2 linked regions of the Arabidopsis thaliana genome follow. The protein of the gene in region 1 interacts with the protein of each later gene in a biochemical or structural test. Each region holds a gene or a part of one and is shown in the gene's direction. Other genes may lie near its edges.

Region 1 (8,895 bases):
GATTTGAATGATTTCGTCCACGTTAACGACAACAAATTCACGTAGCTATAGCCAACAAAATATGTTATAAAAGCATAAATGAACTACCAATGTTTGTTTAATGTTTGATATCGCTATTTAAAAACAAAACAATCACAAGCTTGGTCACCAATTTGATATATATCCGATACACCTGTACCTGTTGTTCAAACTAATTCTTAATTACAACACAAAACAGGCGCCTAACTTGCGCATGGAAGTTTATTACACAATTATTCGTAGACTCACCTAACGAATTGACTTCTACGCCAACGTGCGTCCATGCATCTCAAGATCCTTCTTCAATCATACACCCATGAATTCGCACATATACGTTGATGTATATGAGATTATGAAAAATTCACGTACACATTACATGTATCTTATAGACATCGCTAAGAGCATAGAGAGAGAGAGAGTTGGGGGAAAATGGGGGCCAAAAGCAAAAGTTCGAGTACGAGATTTTTTATGTTTTATCTTATACTAATATCATTGTCGTTTTTGGGTTTGCTCTTAAACTTTAAACCTCTGTTTCTGCTCAACCCCATGATCGCTTCTCCTTCGATAGTTGAGATTCGTTATTCTTTGCCGGAACCGGTTAAACGGACTCCGATATGGCTCCGACTCATTAGAAACTATCTTCCGGATGAGAAAAAGATCCGAGTGGGTCTTCTCAACATCGCAGAGAACGAGCGAGAGAGCTACGAGGCAAGCGGGACGTCGATCTTGGAGAATGTCCACGTGTCGCTCGATCCTCTTCCGAACAATCTGACATGGACGAGTTTATTCCCGGTTTGGATCGACGAGGATCACACGTGGCACATTCCTAGTTGTCCAGAAGTCCCTCTCCCTAAGATGGAAGGTTCCGAAGCTGACGTGGACGTCGTCGTTGTCAAAGTCCCGTGCGATGGTTTCTCGGAGAAGAGAGGGTTAAGAGACGTTTTCAGGCTACAGGTGAATCTGGCGGCAGCGAATCTTGTGGTGGAGAGTGGTCGGAGGAATGTTGATCGGACTGTGTACGTTGTCTTCATCGGATCTTGTGGGCCTATGCATGAGATCTTTAGGTGTGATGAGCGCGTGAAGCGCGTGGGGGACTATTGGGTCTATAGGCCTGATCTTACGAGGTTGAAGCAGAAGCTTCTCATGCCTCCTGGTTCATGTCAGATTGCTCCGCTAGGTAATTTTGGCTTTATTATTCATAGGTCAATATGTTTTCTTCATTTATTTATTTATTTATTGTCGCATGCATGATGACATAATGCATAGTTAAAAAATTCCAATGTTTCGCTAACTATTTCTTATTCGTTGTTAAAGGTCAAGGAGAAGCATGGATACAAGACAAGAACAGAAATCTCACATCCGAAAAAACTACATTATCATCATTTACTGCCCAACGTGTCGCTTACGTGACGTTACTACACTCATCGGAGGTATACGTATGCGGAGCAATAGCCTTAGCACAAAGCATAAGGCAATCTGGATCAACCAAGGACATGATTCTCCTCCACGATGACTCTATAACCAACATCTCTCTCATTGGCCTAAGCCTTGCTGGCTGGAAACTACGGCGAGTGGAGAGAATTCGTAGTCCTTTTTCCAAGAAGCGTTCTTACAATGAGTGGAACTACAGTAAGTTACGTGTGTGGCAAGTGACAGATTACGACAAACTAGTGTTTATAGACGCAGACTTCATCATCGTCAAGAATATTGATTACCTTTTCTCCTATCCTCAACTTTCTGCCGCTGGCAATAACAAAGTCTTGTTCAACTCAGGAGTCATGGTAATGCATCTAACTAACAAATATCTTTAACAATAGATTGTTTGATTTGAATATGTTGACTTTTTTAAGTTTCTAAAGATATTGCCTTATCAATCCATTTCTTACTATTTTATTTTATCGAATTTTCCATATGTTTTATATAAGAAAGTCTGGTTTTCTTCAGGTTCTGGAGCCATCAGCTTGTTTATTCGAGGATTTGATGCTTAAATCATTCAAGATCGGGTCATACAACGGGGGAGACCAAGGATTTCTGAACGAATATTTCGTGTGGTGGCATAGGTTATCAAAACGTTTAAATACGATGAAATACTTTGGTGATGAAAGCAGGCATGATAAAGCGCGCAATCTTCCAGAAAATTTAGAGGGCATACACTACTTGGGACTAAAACCATGGCGATGTTACAGAGACTACGATTGTAACTGGGACTTGAAAACGCGACGTGTGTATGCAAGCGAGTCGGTGCATGCGAGATGGTGGAAAGTGTACGACAAGATGCCTAAGAAGCTGAAAGGTTATTGTGGTTTGAATCTTAAGATGGAGAAGAACGTTGAGAAGTGGAGGAAAATGGCTAAGCTCAATGGTTTTCCTGAAAATCATTGGAAAATTAGAATAAAAGATCCTAGGAAGAAGAACCGTCTAAGTCAATGAGAAGAGTCATCAAACTCGCTTATTCAACAAGAGACTTAATTTTTTTTTTTTCTTTACGTAAAGATTTTGAAAGGGAATTTAATTTCTAACAGGTAATTGTGGATTATGAAGGAAAAACATTATACGTAGTTATGATATATATTTCGTTCGAGTGAAAGTATTTTTAGTTTTTTACAAAGACTAATAACCATACTTTTATTTGGAATAATAATATGCGTAATTTAAGTAAAGTAATTTTCTCTTTTCAAAAATATAATTTCGATGCCTTTTTTCCCTCTCACTCGTTAACACTTTTGTGCCGACCGATGAATCAAAATTAGAGTAACAGTGAAACGCATTCTTCCCTCAATCGTTCAAATGCAAGATTTCTTCGGCTCCGTTCGTCGATCGCTTGTTTTCCGTCCTTCTTCCGACGACGATAACCAGGAGAACCAGCCTCCGTTTCCCGGTGTTCTCGCCGATAAGATCACCTCTTGCATCCGCAAATCGAAGATTTTTATCAAACCCTCCTTCTCGCCTCCTCCTCCTGCTAACACTGTAGACATGGCACCTCCGATTTCGTGGAGGAAAGGTCAGTTAATTGGTCGCGGCGCGTTTGGTACGGTGTACATGGGTATGAATCTTGACTCCGGGGAGCTTCTCGCCGTCAAACAGGTAATTTAGGGTTTGTTTTTCTGATTGCTGTGGATTTGAAGCTAATTGGGACTTAATTTTGAATGACCTAATTCTCTGGCATGTGTACTGAACTTCAAAAGCTTTGTTCTACTCAGGTTCTGATTGCAGCCAATTTTGCTTCCAAGGAAAAGACTCAGGTTCATAAACAATCCATTTCATCGAGTTTTCCCTCTTTCAATTTCCATTGATTTTTGTACTTCATTGAGTTTGTTATCTGTGTTGGTGCTAAGTAGGCTCATATTCAGGAGCTTGAAGAAGAAGTTAAGCTTCTTAAAAATCTCTCCCATCCTAATATAGTTGTAAGTAACTGTTGGTATTGTCTCCTTCTCAATGCATACGGATTCAACACTTCCTTGTGTTATCTATCTAACTCAGGTATTTTTTATTTTCTGGCCTTAGAGATATTTGGGTACAGTGAGGGAAGATGATACCCTGAATATCCTTCTCGAGTTTGTTCCCGGTGGATCGATATCATCGCTCTTGGAGAAATTTGGACCTTTTCCTGAATCAGTAAGTCATGCTTGGATTTTTTTTTGTTCAATCTCTTACAATGTGTGCATTGCTTAAGTGGTGAGAACGATTGAATTAGGTTGTCCGGACATACACAAGGCAACTGCTTTTAGGGTTGGAGTACCTGCACAATCATGCAATTATGCACAGAGACATTAAGGTAACAATTTTTCTCCATACTTTATAAGTGCTTACAATCTCGAGTCCTTACCCATGAGACTATATGTTTCTATGTTTTCTCAGGGGGCTAATATCCTTGTGGATAATAAAGGATGCATTAAGCTTGCTGATTTTGGTGCATCCAAACAAGTAGCTGAGTTGGTAAGTCAAAAAATAATTTGTTTTCTACAAAGTATATTGCAGGAAGCATTCTGTTCTGTGTATTCTCTTATTTCTTAGTTGGTCTAGTATAACATATCCTTCAGAGTGATTTAATGTGATTGACTTGATTTCATCTCTAGGCTACGATGACTGGTGCAAAATCTATGAAAGGGACACCATATTGGATGGCTCCGGAAGTTATTCTTCAAACTGGACATAGCTTGTAAGAAACCAAGCGTGCTCGTAAATGCAAAATTAGATGTTTTGTAACTGATACTCATACAATTGTGGCTATTAATTGTAGTCCTGGTGACTTATGTCCCATATTTTTGATTTCTCACAAACCTGTGGCTATTGTTCTCAGCTCTGCTGACATATGGAGCGTCGGCTGTACAGTTATTGAAATGGTGACTGGGAAGGCTCCTTGGAGTCAGCAGTATAAAGAGGTAATTTGTTCGTATTTCTGGTGATATTTTTTCGTGAATAATTTTGCTTCTTAATTACAAGTGGACATACTTTCTTTTCAGGTTGCTGCTATCTTCTTCATAGGAACAACAAAATCACATCCTCCAATACCTGATACTCTCTCCTCTGATGCAAAAGATTTTCTGCTCAAGTGTCTGCAGGAGTAAGCTACTTTGCTTCAGCAACATTAGTTTGGAACTTTTAATAGTAACTTCCTTCACTACTATTGTGTCTTGTCTTTGGAATTGCTGAATCATTGGATCCGTCTTGACAGGGTACCAAATCTGCGGCCAACCGCATCTGAGCTACTAAAGGTGAAGTATAAATAGTTTGAGTGATGCCCGCAATATTAAATTGGAAAGGTTTGAGTAAAATTCCTGATTTTGTTTTATTCGCAGCATCCTTTTGTTATGGGGAAACACAAGGAGTCTGCTTCTACTGATCTTGGTTCTGTCCTGGTGGGTGGATGTTAACCGTCTTATGAATATCATATAACTTTTTCTTGAAGCCATCTTGATAAAATTATTTTTGTTATTTTCCAGAACAATCTTAGCACTCCACTACCGTTACAGATAAATAACACCAAGAGCACGTAAGTTCTGAATATCTGGCTGAAACCAAAATTTCTAAGATTATTTTGTGGGTTTATGAAAGATTTTGATGGTTTATTGTCTGTTTCCTTTGTTTCAGTCCAGATTCTACTTGCGACGATGTAGGTGACATGTGTAACTTTGGCAGTTTGAATTATTCACTTGTAGATCCTGTGAAATCAATCCAAAACAAAAATTTATGGCAACAAAATGATAATGGAGGTGATGAAGACGATATGTGTTTGATAGATGATGAGAATTTCTTGACATTTGACGGAGAAATGAGTTCTACCCTTGAAAAAGATTGTCATCTGAAGAAGGTAGCATACATATGATTTCTCATTTAGAATTCCAATGGCTGATCAAGTCTCAACTCTTGTTTGGATCATGTTTCAATTTGTTTTGTAAGCATTACTTATAAAATCTATGTGTACAGAGCTGTGATGACATAAGTGATATGTCCATTGCTTTGAAGTCCAAATTTGACGAAAGTCCTGGTAATGGAGAGAAAGAGTCTACAATGAGCATGGAATGTGACCAACCTTCATACTCAGAGGATGATGATGAGCTGACCGAGTCAAAAATTAAAGCTTTCTTAGATGAGAAGGTCCCTCATGCACATTATACTACATTATTCATTGTCCTCACTGCATTTTCTACGTAAATCACTAACATGGCAGTGAATATGTATTTGTCTCAGGCTGCAGATCTAAAGAAGTTACAGACTCCTCTCTATGAAGAATTCTACAATAGTTTGATCACATTCTCTCCCAGTTGTATGGAGAGTAATTTAAGTAACAGTAAAAGAGAGGACACTGCTCGTGGTTTCCTGAAACTGCCTCCAAAAAGCAGGTCACCGAGTCGGGGCCCTCTTGGTGGTTCACCTTCAAGAGCAACAGACGCAACTAGTTGTTCCAAGAGCCCAGGAAGTGGAGGTAGTCGTGAATTGAATATTAACAATGGAGGTGATGAAGCTTCACAGGATGGTGTATCAGCACGGGTCACAGACTGGAGGGGTCTCGTTGTTGACACTAAGCAGGAATTAAGCCAGTGGTTAGTGGCTGCGATAATTGGGATTTAAGTTTTAAGGATTTAGACATTTCCTTAATTTCCTCTTTTAGAAACTCGGTAGGAATCAAGAAGACAGAAATAAGTCCCATTCATGCTTATCTTAAGCTATGATCACCCAACTCCAAACGTGTAGAGTTTAAATTCAGCCTAGCTATTGACCAGCAACGATTTAAATCTGTCACTTAGTCTAGGCTTCTTGTTTCATTCCTGAATCTGCTTGAATTGGCTGGTTTTGGCTTTGCAGTGTTGCTTTGTCAGAGATAGAGAAGAAGTGGAAGGAAGAGCTTGATCAAGAACTGGAAAGAAAGCGACAAGGTATGTCACTCTTATTAATCTAGCAAAAAAATGTCAAAGATTCTCTTTAAGTTTTACATATTTAGAATTTAGAATTCGGCGCTTTGCATTGACCACTGTTAACATGCAATCATGTAATGTTGAGAAACATGACATTGTAGCATCCACTTTTTGTAAGCTTGGTAAGTTGACTTGTGGTTTATGTTATTGCAGAAATCATGCGCCAAGCAGGGTTGGGATCATCCCCAAGAGACAGAGGCATGAGCCGACAGAGAGAGAAGTCGAGGTTTGCATCACCAGGAAAATGACTTGCACAAAAAGTCTCCGGCTTTTTGATTTTTGATTGCTCAACTAGTATATATATCTGTAACTCTTATCTTGCTGTGATGAAAAGTAGACACGAGGTTTGGTCTGAATATATGATTCTGAACTGGTTGTTGAAGGTATTAGATGTGTGTAATGTGAGTGTCGGGTGCATATTTAAGTGCGCTACAAATTGCTAAAACCTGTGCAAGTTTCATTTATTGAAAGGTTCGAGATTACAGGCAGTTATGTAACAAACATGAAACATGAATAGTCTCAACCAAAAACACTAAACCTATCAGGGTAGTTCCAGCCCTGAAGCATAACACGAGGAGACTTCTTCATGCCTGTAGGAGCTGCAAATGAGATCTTAAAAGACATTGATTCACCTGGAACTAGTGAGAAATAGTTGTCTGAGTAGTGTACTGGTAGAATCCTCGTATCTTGTTTCTCTGTCTCTGCATTGTGAACTGAGAAACGAAGGAAGAAAGCAACTCCTGAATCCGATCCCTTCATTTCCACTACTTTCAAACCACGGTTGCTATCTGCAGAAACAACACATCTACTAAAGAGTTTCTGGAGCAACCCCAGATCACGTTTTTCGTCTTCCTGGACAACGTTTTTGGCTAAGTTAGCTCTAGATGTGTTATGAACATTGACCTCCAGCTCATATCTTGAACCCACCATAACTGCATTGCAAGTGATCTTGAGAGGTATTTGCTTCTTCCTGTACGGCTCCAAGAGTGTGTAATTTTTTCCAGGCAGATGCAGCCAGTAGAAGTTCCGGGATATAACTGCTTTGTCTGAGACAGTGTACAGTTTGAGAAGAAGGAAATATACATGCTTTGGGTTTGCTGCTTTCGGATACTTGAATTCCGATATTTTCACAACTTTCTTTGGTGGGGCAGAGACAATTTTAAACACTTTATAGTATGGGCAGTTCCCGTCTAGGTCCCATACTGATGCCTCTATTGCCACATCCGACAGCTCTTTAGAAGTCGTGTTTACAACCTGTGCGGGGGGTCAAAGGACATGATTCCATGTATTATTTACATAATTTATTAGACTTTTATACACTTCTTATTTAGATCAAGAATCTAATTTCGAGAGACCTTCGTACACAGTGATTGTCAGAGAGAGAGAGAGTAACTAATCACACTGACCTCAACAAAGTAACTTGCCAGGTTCAATTGTACATGGACTGGCTCTGCAGCGGAACGGCAGCCATAGAAACTGGCTGTTTGGTCGAGAAGATGATCGTAGAATTGACCTCTGAGACCAGTCCATGGATTTTGGTTCTTCCAGATCAAGACACCCGTGTACTTCGTCCACATTTGCGAACTCCAACCCTCGAATAGAGCTCTGTACTGAATGTAGTTTACCAGTTGAGCCTGTTACAGAGGAAAAACCAAGTCATAATATATCACTTATGATCTCAAGTTTCTTTTATTAATCGAACATAGACATTGCATTATTAAGTTAAGGGGAAAAGTAACATTTATGCACCAGGGTAAGACAACACCAGTAAAGGCTAAAACGGTTAAGATCCCAAATTTACCTTCAAGCAGAAGTCATCGAGATTCTCTGGAGTACCGTACATCAGAATCTGGTCATGCACTTTTCCAGGATTAGAATATGGAATGTACTTGTGATAATCCCACATTCGATTTGGCACTTCTTTAATAAACCCGTCCAAACCCTTTTTGAACAGAGGAATCGTCCAACCTTCTGGAGGCATTGTCGCTCTTATCGTCTCTGCAACTGGCATTCCAACCGAGCCGACCTCCGGATTGAACCCATACTTGTAATATGTGTCTTTAAAAAAATCTTCAGGGTATTGAATCTCATAAGGGCCGTCAGTGAAGTTCCCCTTTCCATCTGCAAAGCCGTCCCACATAGATCCTTGAATATAAACTCTAGTACCGTCAAGATAAACACTAGGATCTGAATCTTTGTCTGATAACAATTGGGTTTCAAAATAAGAATGAAGCCTAAGGTCTTGCTTTAGAGCCTCATTTATGTCTTTTGGCGGAACTTGTTCATTTCCACCCACCCAAAGAGCCAGGCTTGGATGGTTTCTCAGAAGTTTGACAGTATCACGAGCACATAAGAGGAATAATTCATGGTCTAGTGGTCCATTCGGATTTGATACTGGAACACCTCTTCCATCAACATCGCCAGTGATCCAAAACTCTTGCCACACCTGAGAATAAATAAG
Region 2 (7,157 bases), about 24 Mb from region 1:
ATATCACATATAGAAAGATATGTCTATATATATAGAAAGATATATATATATATATATATATATATATATATATATTTGTACTCCATTTGAGGGTATTTTCTGATAAAATATTTCATAGTCATTCACCTAACTAAGTTCCAGAATTTGGTTATCTACCTAATTGAATCTTGAATTAAGATTGATTATTTATATATAAACGAAAAAGAGTACGTATCCTATGGATATTTCTATAATTCCAAAAGATAATTTAGGTGGCCTTAATAATTACTCTTGCTTCTTCTTCTTCTTTAATATTTTGTATATATTTTTCTGTCATTAATATTTTGAAATTATGTAATGTACCATATAAACTTTTGACATTATGTTTTCAGATATATTCTTCTGTGGTTACACTAATATTGATTTGTTTTCCGAAAGGCATTCAAAAAAAACAAACGAAAATAGAGAGAAAGTCGCCCTCGAAATATACGTTGCTTTTCTTTTCTTATGTGAAGAATAGCTTCTTCTTCTTTGTGTCTACTATAAACACTAATAATCTTTTTTTAATATGATTATTTTTATTTATTTTTGGGCAAAATGTTTTTTTAATATGATAGTATTACTATATATTTAGGTTGATCGGAAGTTATATCCTCTCTCATTGGCCTATTTTTGACTGTTATTTTCTCTATCCAAATATATCTATCAACATTGAATCCTGCCTTATTTTATCGATTCCCAAAACACAGCTTAACCAATTTGGTTTTATTTCAGTTAAGTTTTCGGTTCACAACCAATATGTTGGAGTGTTACTAATCAGATAGACGGGTAAAATAAATTGTTTGCACAACCTATTCATATAGTTAAAATAAGCGAATAGAGAGATAATTGAAACTACAGTGAAAATTAACAACAAATGGAACATACGTCCAAGTAGTTGAGACTTGAGGAGTAGAAAGACAACGTAAGGAGTTGACAAACATGTGAGCCATTTGAGACTAATTCACAGACAACTAAAATCCAAGAGTTATACTAGTAAATGCTTTGGTTATTTTAATATATTTTCAAGTCGTCTGCCCGTTGAAAACTGGAGAAAATGTATATAGAGTACTATTCAGCTCGAAGACAAAAATGTAGTGACTAAAATTAAAATGCTTAATTGGTCGGATAAACAATCCAAAATAAATGGGAAATGAGTTTTGAGTTGCGATCGTATCTTGCATTACAAGAAGCAAATTTTAGGGTTAAAGTTTCTGTCACATAACTCCGTTACACAATTCGCTTAATTTTGGATATTTGACAGAAACTAATTAATATGTAAACTTTAATATATATATTGGATTTTAGGCAATTTAACAACTAATTAGTGGCGGACAAATACTGATTATTTTCCCTTTATATATATATATATATATAATTGAATGCTTCTATATTTGTTATTTTGTTGTCACAATGTTTTTTTTTTTAAAAAATTAAATTTGATATCCTTCAGTCCATCACTAGTTAACAACATTGCCAAAATATACTATCTTTTCGTCGAAAAAAAAACTCACCATACAAACTAAGTGATTTTTCAGTAGTTTGTGATCAATGCAAAAATGATAAAATTAATTTAATGTTTACAAAGCTGATGTTGGGTCGAAAGACTTGGACGTCAAGGATAACATTTGGTTCTAAAATATATGGACGTGAAAGATAGCATACCATCTTTGGGACTGTTCGGATAAGAATGTGTGTGCATTAGTTTTGGAAAGTGTTTGGCCACTCGGATCTTTTTGTGATAATCTCCAGACTATGAATATTGCGGAAATATAATCCATGATCAGAGAATATTTGGCGATGCTTGATCCATGACCGTAATTGGAGCCGGATATGTTATGATTTGATCTACAACTATTATTACGCTAGATAAGCCAATTAATTATGGTAGGTGATCGTGAATATAACTTCACTGTCCGAAAAAGAATAGTGTATATGTTGCCCTGAACCATCTATCTCATTAGGTGCTATGAACTAGTGAGTTTTAAGTATAGAGGGTGCATATAAGTCGTTTTTCCATCTTAAATCAAAGACATTTCTTAGTATCTTCTAGATATTTCATTCTTTTAGTACCATATAAATTAGGGATTTGGACAATTCACAATTATTTATTTTAAACCAAACAAAATAATTGTTCTCCGATAATCAGATGTGACTTATGTGATATAGTACATATAAATATACACACTGTTTAAATTTGTCTACCCAATCGGAATCATAGAAACTTTATTGTTTACCCAAACAAAACGGTACTGAATATCGGAACTTTTTTTATTAAAAAAAAACTGTGAGAGAGAAATTGAATCAACGTCCAAGTCACTTGATGCAAGAAAAAAGCGAAACCAATTAAATTCCCGTAAAAACAGAACACAAAAGAACAGGAGAGTTAATGTTCTAACTGACACGTGTCCCTACCTTGCCATACACTCACACAATTAAAATTTCTAACTCTGTCTCTTATCCGAAAAATAATCATCTCCAAGTGTAATAAGAAAATCAAAATAAAACTCTCATTTCTTCTTCTTCCTCGCCTATAAATACAACTCCATTCTCTCATCTCCTACATCACAAAACAAAAACCTCACTTAAAAAAAAAAAACAGAAGACAGAAAAAAACAAAAAAAAAAAGAAAAAGAAAAATAAACAAATTTTCTTTTCTTTTTTTTCCTCTAAAGTTTCTATTTTGTCTATTCGTGTTTTTTTTTTTACTTCCTGATAATGGGAGCCTATGAAACAGAAAAACCAACTAAAGATGCGGCGGCTCTAGAGACACAGTCGCCGGAAGATTTCGATCAACCATCTCCGCTTCGTAAAATCATCTCCGTCGCTTCCATCGCCGCCGGTGTACAGTTCGGGTGGGCCTTACAGCTCTCTCTTCTTACTCCGTACGTTCAACTCCTCGGAATCCCTCACAAATGGTCATCTCTCATTTGGCTCTGTGGTCCAGTCTCCGGCATGATTGTTCAACCAATCGTCGGTTTCCACAGTGACCGATGTAGGTCCAAATTTGGTCGCCGTCGTCCTTTCATCGCCACCGGAGCCGCACTCGTCGCCGTCGCTGTTTTCCTCATCGGTTACGCTGCGGATTTCGGTTATAAAATGGGAGATAAACTCGAGGAGAAGGTTAAAGTTCGAGCTATAGGGATCTTTGCTCTCGGGTTCTGGATCCTCGACGTAGCCAACAACACCTTACAAGGACCTTGCCGTGCTTTCTTAGCCGACTTAGCCGCCGGTGACGCTAAGAGAACGCGAGTCGCAAACGCGTTTTTCTCTTTTTTTATGGCGGTTGGAAACGTTTTGGGTTATGCGGCTGGTTCGTACACTAACCTCCACAAGATGTTTCCGTTCACAATGACAAAAGCTTGCGATATCTATTGCGCCAATCTCAAGACTTGTTTCTTCTTATCCATCACTCTCCTCCTCATCGTCACCGTCACGTCTCTTTGGTACGTTAATGACAAACAATGGTCTCCGCCGCCGCGAAATGCCGACGACGACGAGAAGACCTCAAGCGTTCCTTTGTTCGGTGAAATCTTTGGAGCATTCAAAGTCATGAAACGTCCCATGTGGATGCTTCTAATCGTCACGGCCTTAAACTGGATCGCTTGGTTCCCATTTCTTTTGTTCGATACTGATTGGATGGGTCGTGAAGTGTTCGGTGGAGATTCAGATGGAAATGAACGATCGAAGAAACTATACAGTCTTGGAGTCCAATCTGGTGCAATGGGATTGATGTTTAACTCTATAGTTCTTGGTTTCATGTCACTTGGTGTTGAATGGATTGGTCGGAAATTAGGAGGAGCTAAACGGCTTTGGGGTATTGTCAATTTCATCCTAGCCGCTGGTTTGGCCATGACGGTTCTCGTTACGAAATTCGCCGAGGATCACCGGAAAACCGCCGGTGATTTAGCCGGACCGAGCGCTAGTGTTAAAGCTGGAGCTTTAAGTCTCTTTGCTGTTCTTGGTATCCCATTAGCTGTAAGTACACTTTTGTGTTGTCTTGTTAAAAAACTTTTTGCTTTGCTTAAACTAACATTAATCGATTCGTTTTTTATTATTTACAGATTACTTTCAGTACTCCTTTTGCTCTAGCATCCATATTCTCAAGCTGCTCCGGTGCAGGCCAAGGTAAATATATACATCTTTAATATTAAAGTTACTAAAGTTACAAATATGTGGGACCGTAACTATTATATTTTGGTTTCATCCACCTTATGCAATTATAACATAGGTATTTAAATTGTTTTTGTGATGTTTTGATTTACAGGACTTTCATTAGGAGTTTTAAATTTGGCGATTGTGATACCACAAATGATAGTCTCACTAGGAGGTGGACCTTTCGACGCCTTGTTCGGCGGTGGAAACTTACCGGCGTTTATCGTTGCAGCAATTGCAGCGGCGATTAGTGGAGTATTAGCGTTAACCGTTTTACCTTCACCACCACCGGACGCACCCAAGGCAACGACCATGGGAGGATTCCACTAGTTTACTATTTTTTTTTTTTAATGAAACTCATCAAATACAGTATTACTGTGCGAAACTGCAAAAACCCAAATAAAAGAAAAGAATGGATAAAATGATAAAATCTAATAAACCTTGGGTCGTCTGTATTTCACCCTTTTTTAGTTTTTTTTCTTCTTTTTTTATAACTTTTGTCACTTATTTTAATTTGAAATAGAATGTTTTTTTTTTTTGCCCTTAAATAAGATTTGTGTGTTGAGTACAATTGTTTACTGTTTGCTTCGGTAGAACAAATATCCAACTAGAAAGTAATTCCCTCTACCCTCAGAAAAGAAAATTTTGATAATAATGTATGGCAATTCTTTTATATATAGGGAACAAGTTGAACAATTTATGTAGTTTAGAACGGTTTAGGCGATAAATAACCATTAATAATACCAGTTAAATTAATTAATATGATTAATAATTTTAAAAATACTTATTAATAAATATTAAAACAATTCTCATGTAAGTACATAAAATATAAACCTAGAAGATATTAAAATATTAAATATTAAATAAGAAACCTTAAATATTCTTGCAAACAACTAGTCCAATCAATATGACATTTTTGTATTCTATAAACACACTGTATTATAATATAAACTATACAGTATGTTTCTTAGCACAGTATGACACTTAACAACTTGATGATTTATACTAGGCAACAACCAATGTTTTTGAAGATCATACAATATCATTTATAAGTATATCATTTTTTATATTACAAAATGAAAGATTGTTTTGGTCAACAATATGCGGGCTTGAACCCTCAGTGGCGATACAACATTTTACATATCTATATATAAGTTTTTTCCACCAATTTTTAGAATATTTGCCTAAAATATAAGAATGTTTATACTGCTTAATTAGTGAGTAAGAACAGGTAGTCCATATCCATTTTATACAATTCGGACTCAGTTGTCACGACTTCGTTAATTGGCAACTTTGGCAAGTATGTTGATTTCAGAACACATCGAATCAACAAAGGACAGTCTATTGTGTTAAGTTGCAAACGATCAAAACAAGGCTGGCGTAACATAAATGAAGGCCTTTGGGCTAAATAAATATAATAGATACATCAAAATACAACTTTCAATTTGGACAGACTTGAAGCCTTCTATAATTTGGCCTGGATCAATACTCCTTTTAAGACTAAGGTGTATCAGCCCAGTCTTTTGATTTTTGATTATTTTTTTTGTAAACCGAGGCAAGATTTTTGATAGGCAATAATCCTACTTTATAATACATTCGGAGTGTGTATTCAATTAAACATTTTAAATGATTTGTGTTAAAATAACAAATTCAGCCTCACAATTTAATGTTAAGGATACAATCATATCATCCTTTCATTACCTCTTATGCAATTTACCACAAATGATTGAAACCTCTTATTCAACTAGAGGTTTTGAAATATTGATATATATATTTGGATTTTGTAAATAATTAAGGTTTTTAAATTATGTCATTTAATTATTTGAAAAATGAGGGTAAATAAGATTTTGTACATGACTTTTTTTAAGGAGTTTTAAGTTTGGCAATTGTGATACTACAAATGATAGTAGTGTGACAGTGTCACCTTGGATTCCATTAATTTTCTATGTTCCCTTTTCATGAAATTCATCAAATAGACAAATACAGTATTATTGTGCAAAACCCAAATAAATGAAAAGGTAAAATCTAATAAACCTTGGACCGTCTATTTCACCCTTCTTTTAGTCTTCTTACTGACTTTAATTTGAAATAGAATTGGTTTTTGTTTTTGGCCTTCAGTAAACATTGTGTGTAACTAAAGTCTTCTTTTGTTAACAAGAAAGACCCAGAAGATCACACTAGAGAAAATAAGTCCTTTTTATGGCACTTCTTTTTGAATTAGATGGGGGAAAAGTTGAATTACTTTACTTTATTTTTATTTAGGTAAATAAATTACTTAATATGACTTCAAAAAATAGACATTAAATAAAATTTGTTAAACTTAATTAATTTGATATTTGATTAATTCAAATTACTTAGAAACATTTTAATTCTCATGTAAAGATACTGACCAAAAAATATTAAAAAGTATATACTACTAAAATAAGGACGTCCGTTAAATTATAAACCTTAAATATTCTTGTAAACAACTAAGTTTAGTCAACTAAAAAAAACAAAACAAAGAGGAGTTAATGACCTACTGCCACGTGTCCTCACATTGTCATGCACTCACACAAATGAGATTTCTAACTGCGTCTCTTATCTGGAAAATAATCTCATTCCTTCTTCTTCCTCGCCTATAAATACAACTCCAATGTCTCATCTCCTACATCACAAAACTAAATCCCCACTTTCACAACAAAAAAACTCTTTTCTTTTTGTCTGCTCGTTTTTCTTTTCATAATGGGAGCCTTGGAAGCAGAAAGAGCCGCCAACAATGCTACGGCGTTAGAGACACAGTCGTCACCGGAAGATCTCGGTCAACCATCTCCTCTGCGTAAGATCATCTCCGTCGCTTCAATCGCCGCCGGTGTACAGTTCGGGTGGGCCTTACAGCTTTCTCTTCTGACTCCTTACATACAACTCCTCGGGATCCCTCACAAATGGTCGTCTTACATGTGGCTTTGTGGTCCTATCTCCGGCATGATTGTTCAACCGATCGTCGG

What was found. The genes of interacting proteins can lie anywhere in the genome.
Region 2: of the proteins of NP1 (region 1) and SUC1, one has a biochemical effect on the other in vitro, tested with the Arabidopsis thaliana proteins (one study listed by BioGRID).

Annotation. Positions count from the first base shown.
Region 1 is NC_003070.9:2,888,306-2,897,200, forward strand, and holds NP1 (NPK1-related protein kinase 1), read left to right. Parts: upstream 1-2,715; 5' UTR 2,716-2,805; coding exon 2,806-3,102; intron 3,103-3,218; coding exon 3,219-3,260; intron 3,261-3,356; coding exon 3,357-3,422; intron 3,423-3,522; coding exon 3,523-3,633; intron 3,634-3,712; coding exon 3,713-3,793; intron 3,794-3,876; coding exon 3,877-3,954; intron 3,955-4,094; coding exon 4,095-4,177; intron 4,178-4,318; coding exon 4,319-4,400; intron 4,401-4,481; coding exon 4,482-4,582; intron 4,583-4,693; coding exon 4,694-4,733; intron 4,734-4,817; coding exon 4,818-4,877; intron 4,878-4,961; coding exon 4,962-5,011; intron 5,012-5,109; coding exon 5,110-5,329; intron 5,330-5,445; coding exon 5,446-5,616; intron 5,617-5,709; coding exon 5,710-6,062; coding exon of another isoform or gene 6,063-6,090; intron 6,091-6,324; coding exon 6,325-6,395; intron 6,396-6,587; coding exon 6,588-6,682; 3' UTR 6,683-6,877; downstream 6,878-8,895. Other genes in the region: PGSIP5 (plant glycogenin-like starch initiation protein 5), read left to right, coding at 448-1,195, 1,333-1,799, 1,963-2,448; AT1G09010 (glycoside hydrolase family 2 protein), read right to left, coding at 6,954-7,688, 7,841-8,068, 8,236-8,880. UniProt on the Arabidopsis thaliana protein: May be involved in an oxidative stress-mediated signaling cascade that phosphorylates downstream MAP kinases MPK3 and MPK6. May suppress auxin signaling that promotes cell cycle.
Region 2 is NC_003070.9:27,051,598-27,058,754, forward strand, and holds SUC1 (sucrose-proton symporter 1), read left to right. Parts: upstream 1-2,432; 5' UTR 2,433-2,736; coding exon 2,737-3,996; intron 3,997-4,082; coding exon 4,083-4,146; intron 4,147-4,285; coding exon 4,286-4,503; 3' UTR 4,504-4,867; downstream 4,868-7,157. Other genes in the region: SUC5 (Major facilitator superfamily protein), read left to right, coding at 6,895-7,157. UniProt on the Arabidopsis thaliana protein: Responsible for the transport of sucrose into the cell, with the concomitant uptake of protons (symport system). This transport is both voltage- and energy-dependent.